Linked DNA regions of Drosophila melanogaster. The protein of the gene in region 1 purifies or fractionates together with the protein of each later gene. This does not show direct contact. Each region holds a gene or a part of one and is shown on either strand. Other genes may lie near its edges. The genes, in order: EMC1 and Cnx99A.

Region 1 (7,064 bases):
TGATTGATCTTCTGCTGGACCTGTTGCTGCGTGTACTGCGGCTGCGGTTCGTCTATGAATTCCATGTTCTCGAACTCCTCGCGCTTGGCTAGCATTTGGCTATCGTAGAAGCCACTGGGAGCAGCAAGGTTGGAGCTTGATCCGGCGGCGCTGAGCTTAGGACTGCTGGCTTCATGCCCAAACATAGACTTGCTGAACACGTTCTGCTCCATTTTCACTACGCCCGCTCCAGTATTACTGCCACTAGCGCCAAAGAAGTCCGACATTCGTGAATCATCAGCCGAGAGTCGTGAGGATTCCTCCATCACCCGCCGCTGCATGGTGTTATTGCCCCGATCGGGCTCATCCTCGTCATCCGTGCTGGACACTTCCTCGCCGAAGATGTCGTGGACAGCAACTCCCATGTTCGGCGCCCGGTGTGAGGGAAAGTTGCTGGCTTCGTCATCATCGGACTCCACTTGGAGGTGCCGCTGGGAGCTCATTTCCATGATCGTCTTTTCGCTGGCATGCATGGTGCTTTCGTCCTGCAAATCGTCATCCGCATCGTTGTAGGGTTTGATGTCCGATTGCTCCAGTTCATCCATTGGCTTGTCCTCTTCGTTTATGATTTCATAGTCAACTCTGACAGCCTCGTTGTCAATGCGCAGCAGATGTTTCACTTCCTTCTCAATCTCGGGAGCTTCGACATTCTTTTTCTTCAGAGTTTTGCGGAATCGTCGTTTTCTCACATTCTTGCACGGCGGTGTGATGCCGTGCGGAAAGAGGTATTTTTTGTCCACCTTGTTGGGGTCCTTCTTTTTGTTCTTGTTGGGCGACTCCTTTTCCGTCTCGTCCTCCCGCTCCTCCTTGCAAATGAGTATTTGGCAGATGTCTGCCGACTTGTAGAAGCTCTTGTTGTCAATGGTCTTGTAGCTCTCGACGACGGTGGGCAAATCCACGAGTTTCGTGTACAGTATCTGATCATCTATTCGCACTTCACCGTACCTCAGATCCGGATCCAGTTGGATGGTCAGCCGGTCCTTAATGGTGCCAGCATTTATTGCCTCATGGACCGTGTCCGCCAGTTCCTGCGGAGAATCCGTCAATTTGCACGGCTTGTTGTGATGTTTGTTTGTGCTATGTATGGCTTACCTTCGGCACGCGCATGATAAACTGGCTCTCCAGCTCTACGCCATCATCCCGGGCCTTGTGCTCCGCTTGCTTAACCTTGTCGCTCTTCTTTTCAAACATTTCAATGCGATTTTTCCAGAAAAATACAACTTCTTTTGAAGACACTAAATGCTCATTAGAGATGGGAGTTAGATGGGGCACCGCTAGTGATGGCATTCACGTCACAGTTATCGCTGCGAGCACGACGAATATTTAAAATGGTTCACACTGCAGCCGCATCTGCAGAAATATAAGCCCTGTATACCGCAAAATGGCAAGGCATTTTATTTTTTAATCTTTTTACCAACAAATTTAATCATAAAGGTGAAGACCGAATGGGTTTGCCGTACGTTGAAAGGGGATGAGCCGCACTGCTTTGAATATCGGATGTGAGTCCGCTGAACTATCGATAAGGCAATCGTCAGCCAACCCTGCTCCAATTTCGTCTTCTCATCCCTTTTGCCATGACGGAAAACACGAATTGATGTGGATTTCTACTAATTTATAACATAAAAATACGTCAAAAGTTGAACAATCAGAGATCGAGCTAGTCGAAGGTCAGCAAGCAAGGCGGACGACATGCAGGAGAAGTGGTTACTGCCCGCACTTTCGCTGGCGCTCCTATTGGGCACCTGCTCGGCGCTCTACGAAGACCAGATCAAAAAGTTCGACTGGTGAGTGTGGTACGATATCTGACCATTGACCCGGCGCTAATACGGCGGATATGTGCGGCTTTTGCAGGCGAGGCGTCAATGTGGGAGCACTGAAGCAGTCTCGCGTCGACCTCAACCATTTTCAGCCGCGGATTCTGGTCACCACCTATGAGGGAGTGGTGGCCAGTCTGTGCGTAAAGACCGGCGAATTGGTGTGGCGGCAGGTGCTCGAGCAGAAGCCGCGCGGCGACGTCAAGCTGCTCCAGGTGAGCGGATTCGCCGATGACAGCAGCGACACGGCCGCCGCTCCGATGGGCAGCAACATGGGCTTCGACATGCTCACCGTTCAGGGACACGCTCCTGCTTTGGTGCGCGGCTGGAACACCAATATGGGTGCCCTTGAGTGGGAGTGGTCCATCATGCCCATGAACACGGAGCGGGCCCAGGACGCCATGTGGATCTACAGCAAATCCGTGCTATATCACGTGCTGCCTGCCTGGCGGAGCCACCTCGAGGTGACGGCGTATTTCGCCAGCTCGGGCCACAGCACTGGCAGCACCAGCAAGGTAATAGCTCCTTGGATCACCTCAGAGAGCTGCACCCTTAGCGGCACCTTCTACGTTTGTACGGACGGAAAGCAGTTGATTAGTTTGGATCTCGTTTCCAAAAGCGGTCAAGTAATCCGTACTTCGCTCGAGGCGGAGCCGAAGGGAAAAACTCAGGCCTTGACGGTGAGGAAAAAACTTTGCTATTGCTTTTATTGAAAGTGAAGTAATAGATTGTTGTAAGTGAAGTTATAATTCGTCCAAACATTTCTATAGGGTCTGAATGGTGTTGTGATTGTGGATGGGAAGCCAATTAGTGTCAACAAGGACCAATCGATCTGCGGTGATCTGCGAAGCTCCAGCTTCGCCGTGGGCAGCTTTAACTATCGCAAAGTCTTGGCCTATGCAGATCTGTCCTCTGGAGTACGTTTAAACTTATATTTACTGTTCTATTCTACTATTTCTATGTGAAAACTAATTGTTTCTTTCCCTGTGCGTATGAACAGATCCTCAGGATCAATGCTCTGTATTTGGATAACTGTGCACCGGCAGCGGAGTTGGAGCAGAGTCTGCCATTCCCCGAGCATTTTGGCACTCCGTCGCTGAGCAACTTCGACTGTAAGCAGAAGCGCAATGGCGAGGGCAAGAACTGTCTGTTTTTGTTTAGCAGCACCTCGGAGTCCATCGTGGCAGTGCAGCATGGACGCGTTCGTTGGTCGCGCGAGGAGTCGCTGGCAAATGTGATCGACTCGCAGTTTGTGGATCTACCGCTTGCCGATACTGAGGGCACATTGGAGAACGAGATGAAGGGCAAGGCCGGTGAGTGTACTTGACTTATGCACTACTTTAAGGTGAACTCATAAAATTTATTATTGAAAATTCATACCAAAAGGGGATTTCACAAGTTTTGAGAGTAAGTGAACGTTCACAGCAAACTAATCATGCAATATTGTTTGTTACATGTTTATCACTTTTAATTTTGTGTTTTTTTTTTTAATGTTTATTGAACGTACCACTAATCTAAAAACGAATGTTTACTAACAAATTCAAGCATGCTTCGCTAGTTTAAAGCTAAGTGTATTACTTTTACTTTTTTACTGTCCAATAATTAATTTCCAATGTAAACTAAAATATGAAATATCTTTGGTATATCGTTAATGTTTAAAGATCATATTAAATTGTTCTTTACTAATATTTATGTTTTCACCACGTAAACAGGAGACATTGCCAGTGCCTTTTTGCGTCGCATCACCACTCAAGCTGTTCAGATTCGGAGCTTGTTCCTTCATGTTATCGGACTGGGTCCTCCACCTACAGACACCCAGCGAGCCGGCTTGGTCAGAGACTCCTTTGGCCTCCACAAGATGCTGGTTTTACTGACGCGTGCTGGAAAGATTTTTGGCATTGACAATGTCTCTGGGAAACATCACTGGCAGCTGCATCTTCCCAATGTTATTGGATTCGCTAACGACGAACAGATGCGTCTGATTGTCCAGCGCTCGGCCAAACACTTTCCACTTCAGCCGTTGTGCACTATTTTGGGCAAGAATGCTGTAGGTCTGACTGACAAATCGCATAGTTCCCACGCTAATTCTAATCGTTTATAGGTCAGCGGCAATGGTGTGCTCTATCGTTTTAATCCTATTACCGGCAAAGTAGCCGAAGGTGGCCTTGTTCAGCTGGACTACAGAATTAAGCAGCTTTCGTTGCTGGGAGAAACGGAAAAGGACTTTCTGAAGGGCATTCTGTTACTGGATGCTTCGAATAAGGTACATGTTTATCCCGAACATGCGGCCCCACTGGTAAGATATAAAATTCTATGATATATCAATAGAGTTGAAAATCTTTACATGCACGTACAGGCTGATGGCATGTATCTGTACACCGCCGATTTGAAAACTGCAGAGCTGGCCGGCTACTTTGTTAAATATGCGGGCGGGGTAAGTAATGCAGCCTTTTAATATGAAAGCACTTAACTTATTAAACCATTTCCGTTAGCAACTGTCCAGCACGCACATCTGGAATGCTCGCCTGGGCGGCCACAATTCCGAGCAGCAGATTATCGGCGTTGCCGGCAAGAATCCCATCGAGCATGTCCACTCCCAGGGACGTGTGCTGGGCGATCGATCGGTGCTGTACAAGTACATCAACCCTAATCTAGTGGCTTTCGTCACACAGGCACCGGATTCCACACACAAATGTGAGTCTGCATGCGCTTCGTGTAATTAAGCATTCATTTAAATGGCACTTACTCCATAGCCGTGCTAAATTTGTATCTGGTTGATGTGGTCTCCGGCTCTGTGGTTTTCACCATGACGCATCGTAAGGTCCGTGCACCACTGAGCATTGTCCACTCCGAAAACTGGCTTGCCTACTCCTACTTCAACGAGAAATTGCGTCGCACAGAGATTAGTAAGTTACAACAGCGATAGCCATTGACAAGTACCTATATTTACTAAACTTTATTTACTTGCTACAGCCACAATCGAACTGTACGAGGGCAAGAGTCAGGCAAACAGCAGTGTTTGGAGTTCCTTGCAAGCTCCGCCAATGCCCCTCGTGGAGCGCCAGTCTTATATACTGCCCACAATAGTTGAGGCTCTGCGGGAAACTATCACGGAGCGCGGAATCACCAACAAGCATGTGCTTAGTGAGCATTAACGAAAGTAATTTGAACGCCAAATAGGATGCTAACCATTTGTCATTAATTCTAGTCGGCACTGCCAGTGGTTCCATTGTGGAAATGCCGTGGCATTTGCTGGATCCCCGACGTCCTATCGCATCCACGACTCAGGGACGTGAAGAAGGAGCCATCCCCTACATACCCGAGCTGCCTTTGCCAACAGAGAGCCACATAAATTACAACCAGACGGTTGCCCGTCTGCGTAATATTTACACCGCGCCCAGTGGCTTGGAGAGTACCTGTCTAGTCGTTGCTACGGGCTTAGGTAAGGGAGATTTATCAAACGCGATTTTGGTTAAAGCACTGTAAACCATTTTTATTTGACAGATTTGTTCGTTACGCGCGTGGCGCCATCAAAGACGTTCGACTTGCTGAAGGAGGACTTTGATTATATTCTCATTTCCATAGTGCTAGTCGCGCTCACATCAGGCTCGTTGATTGTTAAGCATTTAGCGTCGCGTAAATTGCTCAAGCAGGCGTGGAAATAGGCTTGGCATTATTATTAAATAATTGCTTTAAATATATATAAATTGTACTGCGACCAAATACCACAAGGGAGGATGGAATGATGATGAGAGAATGTAAATCGGCGAGATACTATTGATATATATAACAGAATTCTGATAGCTGCATTACATCCCACAATGCGAATAAAACCTTTTATCAACGCTAAGCCTAGGCAATTATTTATAACTAATTATATAGCGTTAAACATCAAATAACTATAATTAGCTGTTGAAAGGTTTTCATTGCATGTTCTGTTCCTTTGATTTGTGTTCGTTTAAATTTCCATTTGAAAATATCAGCATTGAAAGAGTGTTTAAAAAGTATAGTCAATAAAAGCATTTGTAAAGGTGGACAACGGTAAAGTAAATAAACAATTTTTTCATCAGAATTAACTGATTGTTGGGATTAATTAGGAGGTGGATTCAAAAAATTTTTGATAATTAAAACAAAAAATATAAATAATAAAAATACAATTAAATCAAAAATTCATAGCGTCTATTACCTGATTTATTTAGGACAATTTTTTTTAGAATTTCCTGTAAAGTATAAAAGGAATTATTATTATAATACTTATCTCAAAAATGAAGTAATTTTCACCGTCTTATAACATTGTAAGAAAGTTGTGGTTTTATAGCTTAATAAATTAAAAATACAAATAAAAAAATTTTTAAATGGGCGCCAAAAATCAGCTGAAAGCTTGTGTGTTTTCCAACACCGACCATCCAACTTTAACCGACTGAAACATATGTTTATTCTCTTCTTCTTCCGCAAAATTGAAAGGATGGCACTGCGTGTTTTTGGCTTAAATATAGTAAAAAATAACAGGAATCTGCTGCAAAATGCATGCAAATCCAGGGCACCGATGCCATGCTACATGGTTGGTACAATAGTCAAGTCAATAGACTTGACACTTTTCACTGTTCCCAATTGTGAGACCAAACGTTTGCATAACCTTTCAGGCAGCGGCTCCATTTGCCACCGATGTGACCGTCCAGGCTGCTCCGGCGGCTGTCCAGAAGCAAAGGGTGAGCAAGGCCATGCGGGCGTACCTGAAAAGAGCCACCGAACACGACGAGTTCATGAAGACCCAGCACCTGGAGTTCCAGATCGGAAAGCGGCACCTGGCCAACATGATGGGCGCCGATGCGGAGACGTTTACCCAGGAGGACATAGACGTGAGATATTTGGCTATGAAAATTTTAAGGGGCTATTTTACCTCATTATCAATTACAGGAGGCGATATCCTATCTGTTCCCTTCCGGATTGTACGACCAAAAGGCCCGGCCGGCTATGAAGTCACCCGAGGTTGTCTTCCCCGCCCGCAAGGCTGCGGAATTCGATGAGACGGGCAGACCATTCCACAGCATGTTCTACACCGGCAAACCCAACTTCTTCCAACTGCTTCATGTGAGTAATTGCGCAACTTGGGAACTTCATTACTTAAGAAAGAAGAATGATGAATTAATTTTAAGTGGTTTGGTAGAAAGGTATTAACTACTTTTCCTTTTTAATTACCAGGACATTGTA
Region 2 (7,364 bases), about 21 Mb from region 1:
AATCCGGCTGAAGTGTTGGTAAGCTGGCCTCGTTGTTAATAGAACACTTGACAACACTGGCTGTTTATGCTCAGGTGGGGCGTTTTAAAAAGCTGCATGTGTGAGTGTTGGAGGTGTGCTTGTGTCTGTTTATGTAGTACCCTCATTAACTGTCATTACACAATTTCCATAAAAAAAAAAGAAACGTCTGTGCGCACGTGTTTAGTTTTCTGCAGTCCGGAGGCTCCAACAAAAGTTGCCTCTTCTTCCGAACACACCTACCCCCCGCCCCCCACTATTATGTATATGCACCACCCACCCACATGTGTGCTTCCGAGTCTTTGTTTGTCTTTAGAAAAAAACTTTTTAAATTGTGTTAAATATTCCATTAAACAGAAAGCTTTTTGTATGCAGTTGCAAACAAAAAAAAAGAAAGAAAAACTGTCAGTGGCAGCAATAGAAGCAGCAGCAGAATTGCGCGTGCCGCAGATAAGTTGCCACAGTTAAAGGATGTGCACTGGGAAAAATCTGTTAATCTTGAATATTATATATGTACCTGTTCATTTGTGTGGAAAATGTGCGTTTCCTTCAATGCTTCTAATTTGTAATAATTTTATTGTTATTTTCTTAAATTTATACACCTATTTTCTCAGCACAAAGAAGGCGTGGCAACGAATGGACCCCACCCACACAAATCCTGCCAATAAGTTAGGAATTTTTATTATAATTTTATGCTCAAATGCATGCCACTTTATTTTTTAGAGCCACGCGTGGCAAAGGGAAACTTTTGCCGCCAGCCATCAAGTTTATTGGGGGGCTTAGCCATTCCCGTTGTGGGGCATTAATTGAGCCGCCGGGCTTTTAAAATAATTGCAACATGCAAGACTACTTTCATGCCACGGAGTGTTTGATTCAGATATGTCCAGTGGAAAATAAATGTATGCCAATATTTCAGTGGAAATCGCACATCGCACAAATATTAATTTCAATATGGTCGGCGAGGGAAAATAACAAAATACTAGAGTGGTGCCTGCTACGAGTCCTAGATAATCCTAATTCCGATTGAAATTAATTTAAAAATTAGCATACATAATTAACAAAAATAGGCTTTAACTGGTTTGCGAATTTCCGTGCAAATTTATTAAGGCAAAACTGTCAATATGGAAATTACGTATTTTCTTAGACGTTTTTCGTCACTACTTGGCTCAAAATAGTCAGAAATCTACGAAACTAACTTTTTTGTACATCTTTTGACCTAAACTAACAGGGCATATAACTTTTTGACCGTTTTTCCAAAATCCATATTTTGGCCATTTTTGAATTTTTTGTAAGGGGTACCATCATCATTTTTTGCAAAATTTGGCTCAAAATTTTTTTTCCAAAATTTGATTTTGGTTGGAAGGGGAGTTCGATTACGAGTCCAACAAGGTATGACAATCCATATTTCGGACAATATTTCTCAAGTTATGGCTGAAAAACGATTATTTTATGGTGGTTTATGCGAATTTATATGTCTCAAATGAAAACATGCAGCTTTCTTTCCCCTTGTAACCATTTATTCTTTATTTATAACATTGTATTTGTTTATATATTTCATTCTGTATTATGATCATGTATTAATTATGATTAGCAGTGAAAAGTATGCAACATTCAATTAGCGTCTGGGGGTAAGTCTGTACTACAAACTTATCGGAGTTCCAAACCCTGTAACGACGATTGGAGTGAGGCATATCGATATGCTTAAGGTAACGATTACGATGATGTTTTTATTATTTGATCAACGCACTGTTACCCATGCGGCAACTTAATTTGATCTGCTTAAATTATTTTATTTTACAATGTGTCTTGGTTACTTAAGACTAACAGATTTTTAATCCTAAAAATGATAGGGAGAATTATAATAGTTGATATAACATAGTAATTATTATTTATTTGATTATTCTAATGAATTTTAAAACTAAGACTTTCTAGGTCAAAACCAGGTTAGGGAGGTCATGAGGGTGGTTTTAAGGTAACAAAAGTATTCTTAATTTATTAAATAGCAAATAAGTATATAAAATTAATAAATCTGACATATTCCTTACTTTTATTTAGCACAAACATAATCATCAAATCAATTATATTCTGGTCCCGCTGAAAGTGTGCTCTTCCTAAGAACGTGCAATTATTAAAGATTCTAGCTTGAGTAAGTATCTTAAAAACTATATATACCCTACGGTAGGGTACAACGCAACGCGACAGTGTGACCAGTTGTCCTTTGCGGCGGCATACCAAAGCAGGCGAAGAGGAAGCACAGAACACAGTAGGCAGCGCAGCAGAGAAAATGTATAATTTACATTAATTTAATTACAAATAGTTCGTCGTGCCAGATCTCGATTCTTGTTATTCCGCAACAGACCGCAGTGGGGGAAAACTGTTGAAAAGCACAGCGCGCACAAGTGAGTCCACCACCTGGTTTTCCGCGGATACTAAATCCCAGCCAGGCAGCCAGCGAGCGAGCGAAAAGTGGGTGAAAATGGCGTGGAAAATGGGAGGAAACCGGGCCGCAACGCTGGCGTTGCTCTTCGCCAGCAGTTTGCTGCTGCTGAGTGCGGCCAATGCCGCCGATTTGGACACGGAGTCGGACGACTTCGAGGATGGTTATGTGGAGGATGTGCAGGTGAGTAGTTGGTCCGACGATGCGGTTCGTAAGATAAAAAAAACGAGAGAAAAAAGTACACGTCAGTGGAAGCTACTAGAAGAAAAGGCGAAACGCTATTGCTGTGAGGGTAGGGGAAGGTGGTTGTGGGGGAGGGGGGTGTTGGTGCGGCCGGCTTCTTCGCTTTATGACCCACAATTAGCATGCGAGTGTGTCTCACTTTTCCAGCAACAAATCCGAATGCGAGGGAAAATAAAACTGTTTACCAACAGACGAGGTCAAGCAGATAGCAACTCCCCATGGCAGCACCAAGAATGCGCTAATCTGTTGCTCCACAGGTTACATCAGAGGTTTATTGAGCAGAGCTTCTATTTAACGTGCTTGTTTCTCTAGAAATTATGCCAGTCATTTATGTTTCTAGGGGAGTTACTGCTACAGATGAGGTCAAGCTAAGAGCAACATAAAACATGTTATTATATAGCTATAACTAGTCTGGCGGGCCCAGGTGTAGCGCTCTCCAATTCAAACCCATGCTGGCCACCCATCTTTCTCTCCCTCTCTTTATCACTTTCCCCACTGACAACCGCGTGCTTCGGATTTTATGGCACCTTATCTAATGTTTCCACATATGCTTTGCAGGAGGAGCCCGCCGTCATCGGTGGCGATGAGAAGCTGGCCTACGAGAGCCCGGTTATCGATGCCAAGAAGTTCCACTTCGCGGATCACTTCGACGACGTGGAGGAGTCCAGGAAGAGGTGGGTGCTGTCGCAGGCCAAGAAGGACGACATCGCCGAGGAGATCTCCAAGTACGACGGCATCTGGAACTGGGAGTCGCCGCAGCGCATCGTTTGGGCTAACGACTTGGGTCTGGTGCTCAAGTCGAAGGCCAAACACGCGGCCATAGCCGCCCCCCTCCGCAAACCGTTCGAGTTCAAGTCGGACAAGCCGCTGGTGGTGCAGTACGAGGTCACGTTGCAGGTTCGTCACCTAGCGAAACGCTCTGGGATTGCATCAGCCGCCGGGCAAATCCAATTAATACCCGCTTACTGACCCAATTCTCGTTCTCCCCCGGCTTATTCTCGTTTTTTTGTTTTTGTTTTTTTGTTTTTAGGAGGGTCAGGAGTGCGGTGGCTCGTATCTGAAGCTTTTGTCCGCCGGAAAAGACACGGAGCAACTAAAAGCGGTAAGTGCGGGGGCCAATGCCCTCATAGATCACACTCGCCTGAACCCCAAAGAACATACATCGTAAACAACCCCCGAAACCGAATCTGTTTACTCGTAGTTCAATGACAAGACACCCTATACCATCATGTTTGGACCGGACAAGTGCGGCAACGATGTGAAAATGCACTTCATATTCCGGCACGTCAATCCAATTAATGGCACCATCACCGAGAAGCACTGCAACAAGCCAAAGTGAGTCCATTAAATGAACGCAACTCTTTGGCAGATTGGAAATGAGCAGCTCGTTCAAGCGTTATCGCTATCAATAGAATCACCACTCTAACCATCTTGCTTGAAAGTTTCCGAGCGTTGTATAGAAACAAAATTGGTGTTCGACATTGCGCATACGTGTAATATCTCCGAAATCACCTTTGCTCACCTTTATCACCCGTTTGGCTCTTCGTCACCGATGGTGGACTATTGCCCCCATTGATGAGCTGAATTTCTGAAGAGGCAGATAAACCGTATATTTATAATCCCATCGATGAATAATATTCTTTTGTTCTTTGCTTTCAGGAACCGTTTGGAAGAGCCATTCAAGGACAAGCTACCCCATCTCTACCAGCTGGTGGTCCGTCCCGATAACAGCTTTGAGATTCGCGTTGACCACAAGATCATCAATGAGGGTTCCCTGCTAACCGATTTCAAGCCACCAGTCAACCCGCCGGCAGAGATCGACGACCCCAATGACCACAAGCCCGAATCGTGGGATGAGCGAGAGAAGATCCCAGATCCCACTGCCCACAAGCCCGAGGATTGGGATGAGGATGCTCCACCCCAGTTGCCCGATACCGATGCCGTCATGCCCAATGGCTGGCTCGAAGATGAGCCCGACATGATTTTCGATCCAACTGCCACCAAACCCGAGGATTGGGATGCCGAAATCGATGGCGAGTGGGAGGCTCCATTGGTGGACAATCCAGTGTGCGAGAAGGCTCCCGGCTGTGGCAAGTGGAAGGCTCCGCTCATCCCCAATCCCAACTACAAGGGCAAGTGGCGTGCACCAATGATCGAGAACCCCAACTACCAGGGCAAGTGGGCACCCAGGAAGATTCCCAATCCAGACTTCTTTGAGGATCTGAAGCCCTTCCAAATGACGCCCATCGTAAGTGCAATTTGCATGGCTTTCGTTGTCCACTTTGCTATAGCCAAACTAACTCTATTTAGAGCGCTGTGGGTCTGGAACTGTGGTCCATGTCCAGCGATATTCTCTTCGACAACCTAATCATCACGGACGACGTGGAGGTGGCCCGTGACTTTGCCGCCAACAGCTTCGACATCAAGCGTCGCTACATCGATCGTGAATCGGTAAGTTTAAAACCCCTAACCTCTTCCGTTTTCCCTTCACAAATAAACACAGGGATTCGTAATCGAGAGACTTCTCTATCCAATTCGAAGAAAACCTTCTGGCACCGCCTAATGCGCCGCATGAACTACAAGCCCGGCTGGTGGGCCCTGTACTTCGTGTACCTGCTCATTCCGGCCAGTTGTTATGTCTTCTATCTCTACCGACGCGCCAAAGAGGTTGGCTCCGGTCTTGTCTTACGCTTTCAAATTTTAATTAGAAGTGCCTACAGTACAACCACATGAACACCTCTCATATTTGCCCTGCACCGTGCACCTGTAATTGCTACTGCTATTCTTTGGCTTTCTCATTAATAGGACTCATTCGTGAATAAGGTAGTCGAGCTAGCCAAGGCCAATCCCTCGATCTGGGGCATTGGCTTGGTGGCCATTGTGGCGCTGGTTGCCCTCACCATCTACTGTAGATTTGGTACCGCTAAGAGTCAGGTAATGATGCTCGAGCTTTCACTTGAGATCTTCATAAGGAATTTACTAATCCCACTTTTGCTATTAGGACTCGGCTGCCAAAAAGGCTGCTGCCGAGGCCAAGAAGTCCGACGATCCTCAGCCCGACGATGAGCCCGAGGCCGAGGAGGAGAGCGACGAAAGGGCCGCTGGCGATACCAGCAAGGAGAGCACACCGCTGTCCGCTAGTCCCAAGAAGAACCAAAAGTCTGATTTAGATGATAACGAAGAGGAGTCCAAGGCGGCGGAGAGCCGAGAGCCCGCACAGACTGAGGTGCGTTCAAAAATAAGCTTGCTTGTGTCCACCACCAGAACTAATCTCAACGTTATTCTCTTTAGGAATCTAACACAAAAACACGCAAGCGTCAAGCGCGCAAGGAGTAAGCGGGCATCCCCACATGCCGAATCCGAAAACAAACACTGCAACTCTAAAGAAAAAAAAAAACTTAATCCAATTCCAAAAGCCAGCGGTTGCGAAGCAGCAACAACCAAAATGTTTGTTCGCCAAGGCAGCCGACATCTCCCACAAACTACACACACACACCACACACACACTCGTTTCGGTTTAGTCAACTCTGTACGTACTTTTGCCGTATTATCGTTGCATTTCTGTCGTGTTCGACCCTCTGTCGTCCCCATATCTCCTATACATATATAGCACCCTTACACAGAGCCAGCCGCGATGGCACCGCTTTATAGTGTTTAGTTGGAGTGATGATCCTCCTTTTGATTTGTGTAAAAATGGAAAACACCAACTAGACAATTGAGGGAAACAAATCAACTACAACTGAAACTAAAGCAGCAAACAAAGAGGGAACTAAAGCAGATAAATCTAATGGCAAGCATCTAGTTTAATATTATGTAATTTAAACGAAATTGAATAGTATGTTAGTTATACTCAAGTTTCCATTTTCATTTGTACCGATGAAAATTTACAGCGAAAAATAAAACTAAATGTCAAAACCAAAGCAAGAGCCTTTGAATCCAACCAACTGCCAGCAGCTAAGCGAAAGGACTGAGCCAAGTCCTGTCGCACAGGTCCTGATTCCAACCCCCATGCAGCCATACCACATGGGTGTTAATTTAAATGTCAACCCCTGATGTTGGGATAGATCAGATTCGAATCGGATTTATTATGCTCGATGGTGCGTGGGGCGCCGACCAGACCAGACCAGACCAGACACATTGCATTCGTGCGGTTTTGGGGCATTTGCCAAATGCCAAATGCCAAAATGTTTTCATTATTTGGCCGATTGGATCGATCTGGTATAGAATACATTTAACAATCATTTTGCGAGTCAAGAAAGAAGGAAATCCCCGCCAATAGAATTCATTTTCAGCAAATGATACCATCATGTATTAGAGGCCTCCTTTTTGTCGCTCTGAATAATTCAATTCAATTTCCTAAGCTCATAAATATGCCAAATCAGACAGACAGTCCTCGTTAATGGAATTGTTATGACAACAGTAAGCCGACGACGATTTGCATTCGCCAAAAGGAGGAGTTGGGATGTCTCAGTCAGTCACACACAGGCGGGACATTCGAAATTAGATTTATGTCCGCCAAACAGATGTGAAACTCTTTCCTTCGATTGCCCAAAACTCCAAGGGCTATTCAATAAAAAGATTAAACGATTTGCCCGATGTCTGGCGGCCTCACTTAAAAGGATTAAAATTTTGCGGCTAGACTGCGTTGCATATTAATAATATACGT

The links.
Region 2: the proteins of EMC1 (region 1) and Cnx99A purify together in Drosophila melanogaster (affinity purification with western blotting, with the first as the bait; one study listed by BioGRID). This does not show direct contact.

What each region holds. Positions count from the first base shown.
Region 1 is NT_033777.3:7,901,887-7,908,950, reverse strand, and holds EMC1 (ER membrane protein complex subunit 1), read left to right. Parts: upstream 1-1,587; 5' UTR 1,588-1,728; coding exon 1,729-1,823; intron 1,824-1,890; coding exon 1,891-2,533; intron 2,534-2,623; coding exon 2,624-2,770; intron 2,771-2,853; coding exon 2,854-3,166; intron 3,167-3,239; coding exon 3,240-3,260; intron 3,261-3,565; coding exon 3,566-3,900; intron 3,901-3,954; coding exon 3,955-4,149; intron 4,150-4,209; coding exon 4,210-4,287; intron 4,288-4,345; coding exon 4,346-4,547; intron 4,548-4,606; coding exon 4,607-4,759; intron 4,760-4,826; coding exon 4,827-4,997; intron 4,998-5,061; coding exon 5,062-5,295; intron 5,296-5,357; coding exon 5,358-5,518; 3' UTR 5,519-5,921; downstream 5,922-7,064. Other genes in the region: Taf7 (TBP-associated factor 7), read right to left, coding at 1-1,067, 1,132-1,326; mRpS9 (mitochondrial ribosomal protein S9), read left to right, coding at 6,319-6,414, 6,497-6,712, 6,771-6,944, 7,056-7,064.
Region 2 is NT_033777.3:29,314,505-29,321,868, reverse strand, and holds Cnx99A (calnexin 99A), read left to right. Parts: upstream 1-2,224; 5' UTR 2,225-2,281; exon of another isoform or gene 2,282-2,335; 5' UTR 2,336-2,494; coding exon 2,495-2,638; intron 2,639-3,256; coding exon 3,257-3,595; intron 3,596-3,728; coding exon 3,729-3,800; intron 3,801-3,899; coding exon 3,900-4,033; intron 4,034-4,357; coding exon 4,358-4,946; intron 4,947-5,008; coding exon 5,009-5,149; intron 5,150-5,239; coding exon of another isoform or gene 5,240-5,365; intron 5,366-5,503; coding exon 5,504-5,632; intron 5,633-5,699; coding exon 5,700-5,924; intron 5,925-5,989; coding exon 5,990-6,034; 3' UTR 6,035-6,615; downstream 6,616-7,364.